2 linked regions of the Anolis sagrei genome follow. The protein of the gene in region 2 binds, or shares a complex with, the protein of the main gene of each other region. Links are inferred from orthologs where the notes say so. Each region holds a gene or a part of one and is shown on either strand. Other genes may lie near its edges.

Region 1 (7,578 bases), on a different chromosome or scaffold from region 2:
CAATCAGGGGACCACGACTGAAAAGGATCTGCTCCTCCCATCTATTATTCTGAATGATCTTACTTGGGCTTGCATGAAAAGACTCCAAACCTGATTTTATCTCAGGTTTGCCATTGTCTTCCTCTGAAGTTGAGAGTGTGTGACTTGCCCAAGGCCATCCAATGGATTTCCAGTTGTCAAGTCTGGACTCAAAGCCTGATCTCCAGAGTCATAGTCCAATGCTCAAACCACTATACTACATTGACTCCCCAAAATAATATACATTGGCATAAATCCAGGTTGATCATGGTAGTCCATGCCTTAGTTATATACTGCCTGGACTACTGCAATGCTCTCTATGTGGGGCTGTCTTTGAAGATAGTTCAGAAGCTTCAACTAGTCCAGAGATCAGCATCCAGGTTACTAACTGGGGCTCTGTACAGGGAGAGAATCAGTCCCATGTTATGGCATCTCCATTGGCTGCTGGTCTGCTTCTGAGATAAATACAAAGAGCTGGTTGTTACCTATAATGCCCTAAACAGTTTGGCTCCAGGCTATTTGTCTAACTGCATCTCCCAAATATAGACCCTTCATACACTTCGGTCAGTGGAGGAGGCCCTGCTCTCGGTCCCATCCCGTCATAAGCGCTGTTGGTGGAAACAAGAGAGGGGGCCTTTTCTGTGATCGCTCCCCATCCCTGGAACTCCCTCCCTAAAGAAATAAAAATGGCCTCCACCTTCCTCTCTACAGAGAGGAGAAGGACTATCACAACCAGCACTTTATGGCTGCTACAGTCTACTTTAAAGTACAACTGATGCTTGCCACATTTTTCAGTTTGGTCGTTTTAACTGTTTAGGGTATATGCTTAGTGCAATTATGTTTTATTGATATAATTATGTTTCCCTCAGTATTTGTATCTCTTGTTTTAATCTGAATTCTCTTGTTGCAATAAGTCTGATAATGTTTATTTTTCATCTTTTGATATTGTGTGATTTAATTATGGCATTTAATGTTTGCCTTTATATATATATATGTAAACCTCCCTGAGTCCCTCTGGGGAGAGAGGGCGATTTAGAAATAATAATAATAATAATAATAATAATAATAATAATAATAATAATAATAATGTTATAGCAGTGTATGTCACCAAGAAGATTCTGGCCTTTATCTCTTGATAAGTGCTCCCTTAAAATCTAGCAGAAGCCTGCTAGCTCTTGCACAGACCTGCTGGATATTGAGGGGCAGGACTTTTCTTTAGGTCAGAGGAGGGAAACTTAGGCAGACTGAAGGTCATTTTTCTGCTCTTGAGTGTGTCTGTGGGCCATACATGCAAAGAATAAAACCCAAACCAGGTGTAGTGAGAAGTCTATCACTTATTTTGAAAAACTAGTATTTTAAAAATGTATATTTTAAAATGCAATGTTACCAAAATCTATGAAGGCGTTAGAAGACACACATCAACACCCCTTTTAATTTTGTGAGAAAAACTGCTGTCTGAAGCCAAGGGTCACAGAAAGAGCCTTGCAGGGCCACATGCTAACTTAGGGCCCTTCCACACAGCCATATAACCCAGAGAAATAAGGCTGCATTATTTTTCTCAACCATCGAAGGGGGACTCAGGACGGCTTACAATCATAAAATCCCACAATATATTCTTTGAACTGGGTTTTCTGAGTCCATACTGCCATATATTGATTTTATGCTAGTTATATGTTGTTGATTGAGTTTTGGTTTATATATATAAGGCATTGAATTTTGCGTTATTTTTGTGTAAACCGCTTTGATTCCCCCCGGGGGTGAGAAAAGCGGTATATAAATACTGTAAATAAATAATATTCCAGTTCAAAGCAGATAATGTGGGATTTTTGTCAGCCATGTGGAAGGGGCCCTAGTGGGCCATGTCCACAACAGATTTGTGAAAGAAGACATTATATGTAACATTGTGTATTGTGTAATGCAAATCCCTGATGATATCATGGAATAGTTCTTGCAGTGCTGAAAATGCATAGCATAAAAACAAAATTAATAACTGCATTATTCTTTGCTACAATAGAATCTTGCTTATTCAACATAAATGGGCCGGCAGAATTTTGGTTAAGTGAAAACGTTAGATAATAAGGAGGGATTAAAGAAAAGCCTATTACACACCAAATTATGTTATGATTTTACAAATTAAACACCAAAACATCATGTTTTACAACAGTTCGACAGAAAAAGCAGTTCTATATATGGTAATGTTACGTAGTAATTACTGTATTTACGAATTTAGCAGCAAAACATCGCAATGTCTGTGGATCCGGGAGGGAGGCAGGCTGTGTTGGATAATGTAGAACTTTGGATGAGCAAAGGTTGGATAATCAAGACTCTAATGTACTTCCTTTCTCTTTCATCATTGCTATTGTAATTATTTTGCCCAGGAGTAATGGACATACAGGATTTAAATAGTTTCTCCATGCTATAAAAAGCCTGAGGCCTAAAATTTTGATATTAAAAATGTCACATTTATCCCCCGCTTTTGCCCGAGAGATGTTCTCTTGAATGTCTTCAAATAAATATGGAACGAATCAAGAGAGACACACATTAATTCTAACTTACCCGGGAGTCTTTGTAGACAGAACGGAGCAAACTTGGGCTTTAAACCGTATCCTGCCGTCTATCTCCTTTCAGCAGGCCTTGGCTGAGAATTCCTCAGATGAAAGCATTTTCTTTGGTACCAGAGTCCGAGATGGGTTTTTATTTTCTGGGAAAGTTGTTGACTGAAGTCACACTGGGCATCTCTTCATGGGTCTTAGATGCATGGCCTGAGATGGATTCATGGGTTTCCTTTCCAACGGTTCCAGTCCTCCTGGATTTTCACTTCAGTAAGAACAGTGCCCCCAGATTGGGGCTGAAGCTGAGCTCCAGTGAAGTCCGTTTCAAGGAAGCCACAGAGTTGAAGGCAGCTGGGAGTGTGTAAGGCTGGGTTGTGGGGGGAGACAGGATCCTCTTTCCAGCCCCCCTGCTCTTTCCCTCTTGCTGAAAGCAGCGGTTTGGCAAGCTCTGGATGTGGGAGAAGTTAAAAATGTTTCTTATTACTGCCTCTTCCTGCCTGGCTTTTCTCCACCACTCCCAGCTAATAAAGCATTTCCTATTGCGGAGCGTAGATCTATATGCGCACACACAACACACTCTTCCTCCCAAGCACAGCAGGGCCCTGTGCAATTGTTCTCTATGGTCTCCCTATTGCCTCACCTTTCTGGGTTTCCTTCCTCCCATCCTTCCCTGCTGCCGCCTTCATTTTCAAATCTGAATGGACTAATCCAAAGCTATGTGTTAGTTAACCAAACTAATCACTACTTTATCTGTCCAAAACAGTAAAACGTTATCCTGTCTGATAACTAGAAGAACAGTGACCTGTCAAAACCCTGCTAGGTTTTCTGCTTCCCTTTGAGAAAATATTTTTGGGTGGTCCTCAAAGTAACTTTTCTAAGGTTTACCTTTAGGTAAGCTGCTATCAGTGGGCTTCTTGACCCAGTAAAGTTTGTGAAGCTTGCAAAGTAACAGTTATTTTGTGCTGTCTTGCAACATTTTGAGCTCAGCCCTTGTTTGGTTCCTGTGCTTAAGTGAGACTGGCCGTTCTGTTGAAGACCAGAATACACTTAAGCTGTCAGCAGCAGCAGCATCTTCTCCAATGTTGAACACAGATGGTGAGTACCAACAGGACTGGGACCAAAACAGAGCTGCTGAAAAACATGGTGGGAGGTACCAGTGGGATTACAGATATTCAAAGCTGGAGATGTGCACAAAATATTTTAAAATATGAAGGCAAATAAGTAAAGACAAAACAAGTTCTTGAGGAAATGCCAAGTAGACCGGGAATGTTTCAGTGTACTGACATTGCATAAGTACAGTTGTGTTGTTGTGTGTCAGCAAGCTGTTTCTAATTTATAGTGACCCTAAGGCCATACGTCACTGGGTTTTCCAGGGCTGAGAGTGTATGATTTGCCCAAGGTCACACAGAAGGTTTCATGGCTGGGCAGGAATTGGATTCTGTTTTCCAGAGTTATAATCCAATGCTAAAATCACCACACCACGCACATACAAAAAAGTAGAGGCAAAGGTGAAGTAATGAGAAGATAGGAAAGCTTAGAGAAGACAACGATGCTGGGGATAATGAAAGGAAAAAGGAAGAGGGGGCGACCAAGGGCAAGATGGACGGATGGCATCCTTGGAGTGACTGGCTTGACTTTGAAGGAGCTGGGGGTGGCCATGTCCGACAGGAAGTTCTAGCATGGGCTGGTCCATGAGGTCACAAAGAGTTGGAAACGACTGAACAAATAAGCAACATCAAGCCAGTGAGCTCTGGAGTCAGGTAGGACCCATTAGAGATGAGTTCCTAAGCTGTAACACCACGTTACACAGAAATATAAACATTATCTTCTACCAGTGCTGCTGACCCTGAAATCTATCTTCTCCTAGAGATTGGGAGAAACGTAGAAATTTCTGGAGACTATGGGTCTAAAACTGAATGTGGGTTAAAACCTATCTCAAGGACTCCCTACAGCATGATACAATTAAGGTCATTTTGCACCTGCCCACACCAATGAAAGAGAGGCAAGGCATAATGTAAAAAGATAATAGAATAAATTCTATCTAGCTTTTAAAAAGTAACACATTAGTCATATTTTTAAAAGTCAATATATTACTCATTACTGGAAGAATTGTGCATTAGCAGCCTGTCATTAACATATTGCATCACCACCACCAACATCATCATTTCATAACAACACACTTAAAAATAGAAAAATGTCCTAATTCTTCAATATAATTCCTCCAAACAAGTACAAGTTGAGCATACCTTATCTTGAATTCTGAAATCTAAAATTGTCCATGTGCCTGTCTGAGATAAGGATGCTTTGGCTTTGTGATGCTTCAGTGTGCCCAAACTTGGTGTCATCCACAAAATTATTCAAAATATTATATGAAGTTACCTCCAGGCTATATGTATAAGGTGCCTCTGAAACATAAATTAGTTTCATCTTTAGATTTTTGTCCCATCTCATTATGTACATATATGCATATACAGGCATTTCAAAATCTCAAACTCAAAATATCTCTGATATAATAATAATAATAATAGTAATAGTAATAATAATAATAATAATCAACTTTGTTTATACCCCGCCACCATCTCCCCAATGGGGATTCGGAGCAGCTTACATGGGGCCAAGCCCAGACAACATGTTACAGCAAAATAAAACCAAAAACAACAAGCAAAATCATCAAAATTACATTAAAAAAACACATATGCATACAGTAACAAAATAACATTACAATAAACACAATTGCAGTAACAGTGGGCAGGCCACATGTACAGGATAAAATGTTAAAAAAAACTCTAATGAGATAAAAATAGGAGTAAGGTTGCAATGGTACCTCACAAAAAAAAACAAACACATTATGCCCATGTCACCCCTATAAGTAATGCATTCACAACAATATTCTGTAACCTGTTAAGCACTACCCTAAAGCTGTGATTCAGTAGGTAGGAATTCCTAATTCACACCTCCTGGCTGGACCTTCCTGTTCCCCTATGCGTTTTCCATATACTGACACTTCATAATGCCCCTTTTAGTGTGAGAGTCCCACTAGTGGGGTTCCTATGCTTTTGACAACCATGTGATAGAAATGCAAGATATAATATAATCCCTTGCAACTTTCTCTTCATTCAAGGGGAGAAAAAGAAAAGAAAAACCTAGGTTACATTTGATGTGTTCTTCTTTTTTCAGCATAGAGAGGGGGCATATTTTTGCTTATTACATGCAAGTCCTCTTTCTTCAGCATCATTAATATCAAAATCCAGGGAGAACTGGTGGCTTCCATATCAGTGGTGGTGGTAAATCTGTCCTGGGGCTGAGTCTGAACTTTAAAACAGCAATCCAAGATGCCTAAGGGTATGAACTAGGGTTTACTTTGGATAGGTCCTTCAAAATCTGGATTAAAATGTGAAGCAAATTCACTGCCCCATTGACATGGGACCCATTGGCCTTCACTAGAAACCTCTGCCAATATGCAGTGTCTCAAAATGTGTTCCTTCCTCAAACTAATTTTTATCATATCCATTCTGAACAAGACAGATACCCTAATAACAGTTTGCAAAAACTATTTTGAGAACTAACATAGGGTACTTCTACATAGGCAATTAATCAGGAGCAGAATGAGAATGATAGAAATCCAGTTCACTCCAGAGTGCCGACATAGGCACCACAGGAACTGGCTGGTATATGCAAGTGAGTCCACACAAATCCACAGGATTTCTTCATCACATTCTGCTCCAGATTGATTGGCTCAATTGAAATCCAGGAATATGTTTTTTACCTCCCCTAAGAGACAAACAACTTCTCAGAAGCACTTGCCTCACAACTCAGCAAGGCAGGGCAGTAAAATCAGGCATTCCTATGGGAACGCTGGGCTTTCCTTAGCGGGGTGGGTGGGAGAGAGATTTATTTTCCAGCTGGGCTTTACAGCTGCTTTTTTATTGTGAATGCTTTCTTACTCCTGTTTACATGAGAATCCCTGCATTTGCCGTCTGGCTTCTTCTTTTGCATTGTTTATACACAGAAGGAATTCAGCAGATTTTCTAGCTTGATCCAGGATTTCTGGTGAGTTTTTTTAAAAAAGATAACACTGCTCTGGAGATTGTTTTCTGAGCACACTAAACTTGAGCTGACTTCAAGCAGAATTTTAGTGTTGGTGTAGATGGGCCTCTGTTATGATTTTTGTAGATGAGTTACATCTGTTGAAGCAGACCATTGCACACCAAACCTGTGCTATAAAAATAGTATTTAAGTGCTTCAAGGTAACATCCAAATCTTGCATTGTATAAGCTAGTTATTTGGATTCCAGTGCTATATGTCTTTAGGACATATAGGACTGGAACCCAAATAACTAGCTTATACAATGCAAGATTTGGATGTTATCTTGAAGCACTTAAATACTATAGGACATATAGGACTGGAACCCAAATAACTAGCTTATACAATATGTCCTATAGACATATAGGCAATGAAAGTAGCAATGAAAGTAGCAAATGTGCAGGTACAACTGCACCAAGAGCTCCAATTTTGTTTGCTTCGCATTTAATGTTTGTTATAGTCCCAAGTTTCAGGAACTCTGCAGATAGGTGGCTTCTTTTGGCTGCAATCATAGGGCAAGCCACCTGTCAATTATAGTTAGGTTCCCTGGTTCCGCCCCCTTTTTGGGTTTTAGAGGGAATAGGAGCCATTTTGAGTTCAGTCTACACAGAGAAGCCTTTCATGCAGGACACAATACCAAGAGCTCCTGTAGAAAGCTTCGTCTTCTACGGCTTGGCCGGGGAGATATACAGCTCACAGCTTGGCCAGGGTTATACAGCCCTACAGCTCCTTTGCTGAAGGACTTCAGCCAGCCATCACAGAAACCTGAACTCCTTTCCCCCTGGAAGTCTACAAAGCTCTGCTTGGTAAGGGTCACTTGTGGAAGCCAGAAGCAGTTGGTACCGGGTGTAGGGGCTCCACACCAACAGAGGCGAAGACAGACTGCCTAGATTAGAGGTTAAGGATTTCCCCATTAGTTGAAATA
Region 2 (7,606 bases):
CACTGTGCATAGTGTTAATATATGGCTTTGGTATGGCATAGGGAAGGGTAAACACCCCTGTTGCCTGTATCTCTGTTCAGAAGATTTCACCCCACTTTCTATCCCTGTTATTATTGGATTTTGCAAAATGTGGCTTGTTGTGAAAACAAGTATTGGGGACAAAGCTTGAGCAGAGACCCTTTCCCCCCTGATACCAACTCTCCCAGGAGTGGATTTCCCTTCCTTTCAAGAGGAAGATTCCTCTCACTTCCTATTGTCTCAACCTCCTAAATAGGAGTTGGATGTGTTTATAACTATATCTCTATATATATCATAGATTTGGAAGGGGTCCCCAAAGGCCATCCAACCCAGTTCTCTTCTTAACTGTGAGTCATTTGTAAATTGGATGTCTGTAACTTGGGAACTGCATATATATAGGTCTCTATATGTATATATTAGGCTTGGGCAATCCATGGTTCTAAATGGTTCTAAAGTACTTACAAAACTAAAGTTCTGGTGGTGAAAATTTCAGAACTCTAACAAAACTTTCAAAATTTAATTATTATTTCATTATTGGTGATTTTAATGACAGAACCAATTAGGAACTGCCATTTATTATGAAATTTTGAGAGTTTTGTTAGAGTTCTGAAATTTTCACCACCAGAACTTTAGTCTTGTAAGTACTTTAGAACCATTTAGAACCATGGATTGCCCAAGCCTAGTATATATATGTGAGATCTAGTATAATGGCGCTCCTTGCAGTCATGCTGGCTACATGACCTTGGAGGTGTTTATGGACAACGCCGGCTCTTCGGCTTAGAAATAGAGATGAGCACCACACCCCAGAGTCGGACACGACTGGACTGAATGTCAGGGGAAAACCTTTACCTTTACCTATAGTATCCTAGATGTGGAAGGGCCCCCCAAAAACCATCCAGGCCACCCCTGTGCTTAACTGTAATTTAGAAGCTGGATGTTTGTAACTCCTCCTCCTCAATATGACATCCTTTCAGATATTTAAACATGGATCTCATGTTCCTTCTGAACCTTCTTTCCTCCAAGAAAAACATCCCAAACTTCTTCAGCCATTTTTCAGAGGGATTATTGGTTTCCAGAACTTTGAACTTTTGGGGAGCCCTTCTCTGGACACCTTCTTTCTTGTACATCTCCTTAGAATCATAGAATCCTAGTGTTGGAAGAGACTTCCAAGGGCCATCTAGTCCAACCCCCTTCTTTCTGTCCTGCAGGAAAAGCACAAAGTATCCCCGATAGACTGCCACCCAGCCTCTGTTTAAAAGCTTCCAAGGAATGAGCTTACACCAGATTCTGAGGCAGAAAGTTCAACTGCTGAACAGCTTGTACGTTCAGAAAGTTCTTACTCATGTTCAGGTAGAATCTCCTTCATTTGTCATTTGAACCCATGGCTCCGCGTCCTAGTCTCCAGGGCAGCAGAAATGAAGACTGTTTCCTCTTCCTTATGACAGCCTTTCACATATTTAGACATGGCTGTCATTCCTCCTCCACTCAACCTTCTCTTCTGCAGGATAAACAAACCCAGCTCTTTAAGATGCTCCTCAGACGGATTATTAATGGTCTCCAGACCTTTGATCCTTTGGGTCTCCCTCTTCCTCTGGACATCTTCCAGCTTGGAATCATGGTGTCCAGAATTGGACACAGTATTCCAGGTGAAGCCTGACCAAAGCCAAATAGAGAGGCACCAGGACTTCCCTCGATCTAGACCAGTGGTTCTCAACCTTCCTAATGCCACGACCCCTGAATACAGTTCCTCATGTTGTGGTGACCCCCAACCATAACATTATTTTCGTTGCTACCCCATAACTGTAATTTTGCTACTGTTATGAATCGGCATGCAAATATCTGATATGCAGCATGTATTTTCATTCACTGCACCAAATATGCCACAAATACCCGATATGCCCAAATTTGAATACTGGTGGGGCTGATTTTGTCATTTGGGAGTTGTAATTACTGAGATTTATAGTTCATCTACAATCAAAGAGCATTCTGAATTCCGCCAATGATGACATTGAACCAAACTTGGCACACAGAATTCCCATGACCAACGGAAAATACTGGAAGGATTTGATGGGCACTGGCCTTGAGTTTGGGAGTTGTAGTTCACCTACCTCCAGAAACTCAAACAATGATGGATCTGGACCTAACTTGGCATGAATATTCAATATGCCCAAATGTAAACACTAGTGGAGTTTGGGGAAAATAGACCTTGACATTTGGGAGTTGGAGTTGTTGGGATTTATAGTTCACTTACAATCACATAGCATTCTGAACTCCGCCAATGATGAAATTGAACCAAACTTGGCACACAGAACTCCCATGACCAACAGAAAATACTGTTTTCTGATGGTCTTTGGCGACCCCTCTGACACCCCCTCGCGACCCCCACAGGGGTCCCGACCCCCAGGTTGAGAACCACTGATCTAGACACTAGATTGGCCTTTGAGCTGCTGCATCATACTCGTGGCTCATGTTCTATTTGCTTCCCACGAAGACTCCAAGATCTTTTTCACATGGACTGTTGTTGAGCCAGGCATCTCTCATTCTGTATCTTTGCATTTCATTGTTCCCTGCCTAAGTGTAGCATCTTACATTGCTCCTTGTTGACATTCATTGTGTTTCTTTTGGTCAATCAGCTCTCATCTGTTGAGGTCCTTTTGCATCCTGACTCTGTCCTCTGGAGTATTCGCTCTCCCTCCTAATTTAGTCCCAGCTGCTAGCTTGATACGAAGCAGGCCCTCTAAACCTTCATCCAAGCCATTAATAAAGACGTTGAAGAATATTGGGCCCAGGACCAAACTCTCAGGCACTCCTTCTTCAATTGCTTTGTCCAGAATGGGACATAGGGCTGTCATTCCAGGTGAGGAGATCTTCCCAAAGCAGAAGAGAGAGACTAGGAGTTTCCTCGATGTGGATTATTTATTTATCGTGTCATCCGCAACCAGAACATTGTATTACATTTCTAACAGAACAAAACAAACAAACAAACAGATGAAAAAAACCCCCCACAAATTTTGCAAACTTGGTAGCTGATTAAATGTCCTTTGACCAGTATCTGACCACTTGGAGTGCCTCTGGCGTTGCCACAAGAAGGTCCTCCATTGTGCATGTGGCAGGGCTCAGGGTGCATTGCAGCAGGTGGTCAGTGGTTTGCTCTTCTCCACACTTGCACGTCGTGAATTCAACTTTGTAGCCCCATTTCTTAATATTGGCTCTGCATCTTGTGGTGCCAGAGCACAGTCTGTTCAGCGCCTTCCAAGTCGCCCAGTCTTCTGTGTGCCCAGGGGGGAGTCTCTCATCTGGTATCACCCACGGATTGAGGTGCTGGGTTTGGGCCTGCCACTTTTGGACTCTCGCTTGCGGAGGTGTTCCAGCGAGTGTCTCTGTAGATCTAAGAAAACTATTTCTTGATTTAAGTCATTGACGTGCTGGCTGATACCCAAACAAGGGATGAGCTGGAGATGTCTCTGCCTTGGTCCTTTCACTATCGGCTGCAACTTCCTGGCGGATGTCAGGTGGTGCAATACCGGCTAAGCAGTGTAATTTCTCCAGTGGTGTAGGGCACAGACACCCTGTGATAATGCGGCATGTCTCATTAAGAGCCACATCCACTGTTTTAGTGTGGTGAGATGTGTTCCACACTGGGCATGCATACTCAGCAGCAGAGTAGCATAGCGCAAGGGCAGATGTCTTCACTGTATCTGGTTGTGATCCCCAGGTTGTGCCAGTCAGCTTTCGTATGATATTGTTTCTAGCATCCACTTTTTGTTTGATGTTCAGGCAGTGATTCTTGTAGGTCAGAGAACGGTCCAGAGTGACTCCCAGGTATTTAGGTGCGCTGCAATGCTCCAGTGGGATTCAATGCAACGCTTCCAGTGGGACATGAGAGAAGCCTCCTCGCAGGATTGCAAGACATCCGGGCGTCCCCTGGGCAATGTCTTCATAGACGGCTGATTCTCTCGATCCAGAAGCAACCAGAGAAACCAGAGATGTGGATGCTAGGCTCCTATGGATGCAGCCTGGAATGGCATTGGTCATTGCCACATCACACTGTTGACTCATGCTCAGGCTGTGGTCTCCAAAGATCCTTAGATTCCTTTCACACGGAAGGTTCTTCAGCCAGGTGTCCCTCATCCTATATCTATGCAGAACCGGATGCAGGATTGAGCCGTTGCCATTTGAGCACATTAATTCTCCAGTGCAGATGCCCCCTTAGAAACAGTCCTCAGAGAAAACAGAAGTAGAGGAAGGGAGGGTATGTCCTTCCGCACAAGACGAGGGGAAAAAGTTGGCCAACTCTTCCATCGCATCCCAACGAGGAATGTTTACACCATGCTCATTAAGAGAGCGGCGCATTTGTGAGATAGAGACCGAAATCTGGTGGACAGCTTACACTGGGGGAGATAAGGCAGCGAAGGCGACCATTGGAGACCAGATCCAATTACTGAGACCTGGACGAAAGGGGGTGGGATTGGAAGGAGAGGCGTTCGCATGACAAGCGCCTGGGCAAGAGCTTCCAGACTTGTCCACGGCTAGTGACAAGCACCATATATATCTCTATCTCTATCCATTGTGCTGGGACGACCATATATATCTCTCTCTATCTGTTGTGCTGGGACGCAACCATGAGAAAGGCAACTATGAGGCTGGTGGCCTTGCAAATGTGGGCCGTCATGCTGCTCCGCATTGGAGACGGAGGTCCCATCCGAGACCTGGATGCGCCGGAGGATGTGGCCTTCTTTGACGAGCAGGACCCCATTCTGCAGAACCTATTGAAGGCCCTCAACATCTCTGAGGTCCCTGTCCAAGAACCGGCCAAAGTGGAGCCTCCCGAATACATGCTGGAGCTCTTCCACCGCTTCACCCTTGACAAGAGTTCTATGCCCTCCGCCAACATTGTCCGCAGCTTCAAGAACGAAGGTAAGGCCCGGGACGCTCTCCTTGAGACCTTAGAGATTGCTTGGCCGGACATTGCCTTACTTTTGGGAGCTTCTTGGGTGGAAAGAAGGAAAATGCATGAATGGCTTAGAAGAAGGTTTAAAGAGCATGCTTCTTATCAAGTTTGGAACCAAATTGGGATGGAGAGCTCATATTGCAGAAGACAGGGTCTGGATGCAAAATGACCTTCACACGACTATTGTTCCTGGGTTACCAGTGTCATTTCCTAATTGGTTCCATCATCAAAACATGGAAATGCAGCACATTATATATTATTACTAGCTATCCCCTGCCACACGTTGTTGTGGTCCAGTCTAGTGATCTGAAAAATAAAGTAATGGTTTCTAATATATGTAATTCCTTTATACTTGTGAGTAAACTATTCCTTGTTGTTTCTTTGTCAGTGTTGATGTGGAGATTGTCTGGTTTGCCTACTCTGGAACATGCAACATATAATTATCCTTCTTTAGGGGCCCCTTTCAAATCTATGATACTATATCTGTGTTTGTGTGTATGTGTGTGAATCATCATATATCTATCTTTATCTATGGCTGGATAGCTCTTTATCAGGAGGGCTTTGATTACGTTTTCTTGCCCTAGTGAAAGGAGTTGGACTGGATGGTCTTAAGTATGGTGGTTCTGTGTGGGACTTTTGCCCCAATTCTGTCGTTGGTGGGGTTCAGCATGCTCTTTGATTGTAGGTGAACTATAAATCCCAGTAACTAGAACTCCCAAATGTCAGGGTCTATTTCCCCCAAACTCCATCTGTATTCATATTTGGGCATATGGAATATTCGTGCCAAGTTTGGTCCAGATCTATCATTGTTTGAGTCCAAAGTGTTCTCTGGATGTAGGTAAACTACAACTCCCAAGCTCAAGGTCAATGCTCACCAAACCCTTCTAGTATTTTCTGTTGGTCAGGGGAGTTCTGTGTCCCAAGATTGGTTCAATTCCATCATTGGTGGAGTTCAGAAAGCTCTATGATTGTAGGTGAACTATAACTATAAATCCCAGCAACTACAACTCCGAAATGACAAAATCATTTTTTTAGTGAAGGACATATATTGAGTTGTTAGATGTCTTGTGTCCAAATTTGGTGTCAATTTGTCCAAACATTAAATTTTTATTTATATAGATTGTATATTTTTATTAATAATAATACTATATAATATCGTATATTATTATTGTATAATAATAATAATAACACTATGTAAGACGACAATCTAATTTGTTAGATCATAAAACATGGGAAATATTTACTAAACTGCAAAAAGTTTGTGCGGGAGAGAGATCGTCCTGCAGCACATTTCACCCTAGTTTTTCAATGAATATTTCATCGAGTCTAAGCCAATTAGTCTGTGGCAAAACAAAGTTTCTGGAGTAGAACAACTACTTTCAAAGAAATTGATTATATGGCAGTATAGACTCATAGAATCAAAGAGTTGGAAGAGACCTCATGGACCATCCAGTCCAACCCCCTGCCAAGAAGCAGGAATATTGCATTCAAATCACCCCTGACAGATGGTCATCCAGCCTCTGTTTAAAAGCTTCCAAAGAAGGAGCCTCCACCACACTCTGGGGCAGAGAGTTCCACTGCTGAATGGCTCTCACAGTCAGGAAATTCTTCCTCGTGTTCAGATGGAATCTCCTCTCTTGTAATTTGAAGCCATTGTTCCGCGTCCTAGTCTCCGAGGAAGCAGAAAACAAGCTTGCTCCATCCTCCCTGTGGCTTCCTCTCACATATTTATACATGGCTATCATATCTCCTCTCACCCTTCTCTTCTTCAGGCTAAACATGCCCAGTTCCTTAAGCCGCTCCTCATAGGGCTTGTTCTCCAGACCCTTGAACATTTTAGTTGCCCTCCTCTGGACACATTCCAGCTTGTCAATATCTCTCTTGAATTGAGGTGCCCAAAATTGGACACAATATTCCAGGTGTGGTCTAACCAAAGCGGAATAGAGGGGTAGCATGACTTCCCTAGATCTAGACACTATGCTCCTGTTGATGCAGGCCAAAATCCCACTGGCTTTTTTTGGCGCCACATCACATTGTTGGCTCATGTTTAACTTGTTGTCCACGAGGACTCCGAGATCTTTTTCACACGTACTGCTCTCAAGCCAGGCATTGTCCCCCATTCTGTATCTTTGCATTTTGTTTTTCCTACCAAAGTGGAGTATCTTGCATTTGTCACTGCCGAACTTCATTTTGTTAGTTTTGACCCATCTCTCCAATCTGTCAAGATCATTTTGAATCCTGCTCCTGTCCTCTGGAGTATTGGCTATCCCTCCCAATTTGGTGTCATCTGCAAACTTGATGATCATGCCTTCTATAGACTCATTGATATGAGTATAGACTCATATCAATCCATTTCGAAGCAGGTAATATGGATTATCTGCTTTGATAATCTGAATTACATGGCAGTGTATAAAGCGGTCTTAGTGGAGAACCAGTTGAACATGAGCCAGCAATGGGATGCAGCAGCTCCAAAAGTCAATGGGATTTTGGGTTGCATCCAAGGAGTCTCTTCTATCTCACAGAAGAATAGATTTGGAAGAGACCCCCATGGACCATCTAGTCTGACTTTCTTCCATGCAGGGAAAGGACAATCAATTTGTAATTTTATTATTATACTAGCCGTTCCCCGCCACGCGT

The links. Proteins that work in one complex are often made in the same cells at the same time.
Region 1: the proteins of BMP10 (region 2) and ACVRL1 are in contact, whole or in part, in a crystal structure (PDB 6SF1), measured with the Homo sapiens proteins. The link is inferred for Anolis sagrei from reciprocal best matches to the Homo sapiens genes BMP10 and ACVRL1. Residues at the interface, in NP_055297.1 of Homo sapiens: Tyr322, Asn357, Tyr358, Pro359, Ala361, Glu362, His363, Pro366, Thr367, Lys368, Ile371, Leu375, Leu378, Lys379, Ser381, Lys386; in NP_000011.2 of Homo sapiens: His40, Val54, Val56, Arg57, Glu58, Glu59, His66, Gly70, Asn71, Leu72, His73, Glu75, Leu76, Phe84, Val85, His87.

The regions. Positions count from the first base shown.
Region 1 is NC_090022.1:139,386,625-139,394,202, forward strand, and holds the start of ACVRL1 (serine/threonine-protein kinase receptor R3), read right to left. Parts: upstream 3,093-7,578; 5' UTR 2,575-3,092; intron 1-2,574. UniProt on the Homo sapiens protein: Type I receptor for TGF-beta family ligands BMP9/GDF2 and BMP10 and important regulator of normal blood vessel development. On ligand binding, forms a receptor complex consisting of two type II and two type I transmembrane serine/threonine kinases.
Region 2 is NC_090027.1:20,129,007-20,136,612, reverse strand, and holds the start of BMP10 (bone morphogenetic protein 10), read left to right. Parts: upstream 1-4,546; 5' UTR 4,547-4,640; coding exon 4,641-4,935; intron 4,936-7,606. UniProt on the Homo sapiens protein: Required for maintaining the proliferative activity of embryonic cardiomyocytes by preventing premature activation of the negative cell cycle regulator CDKN1C/p57KIP and maintaining the required expression levels of cardiogenic factors such as MEF2C and NKX2-5.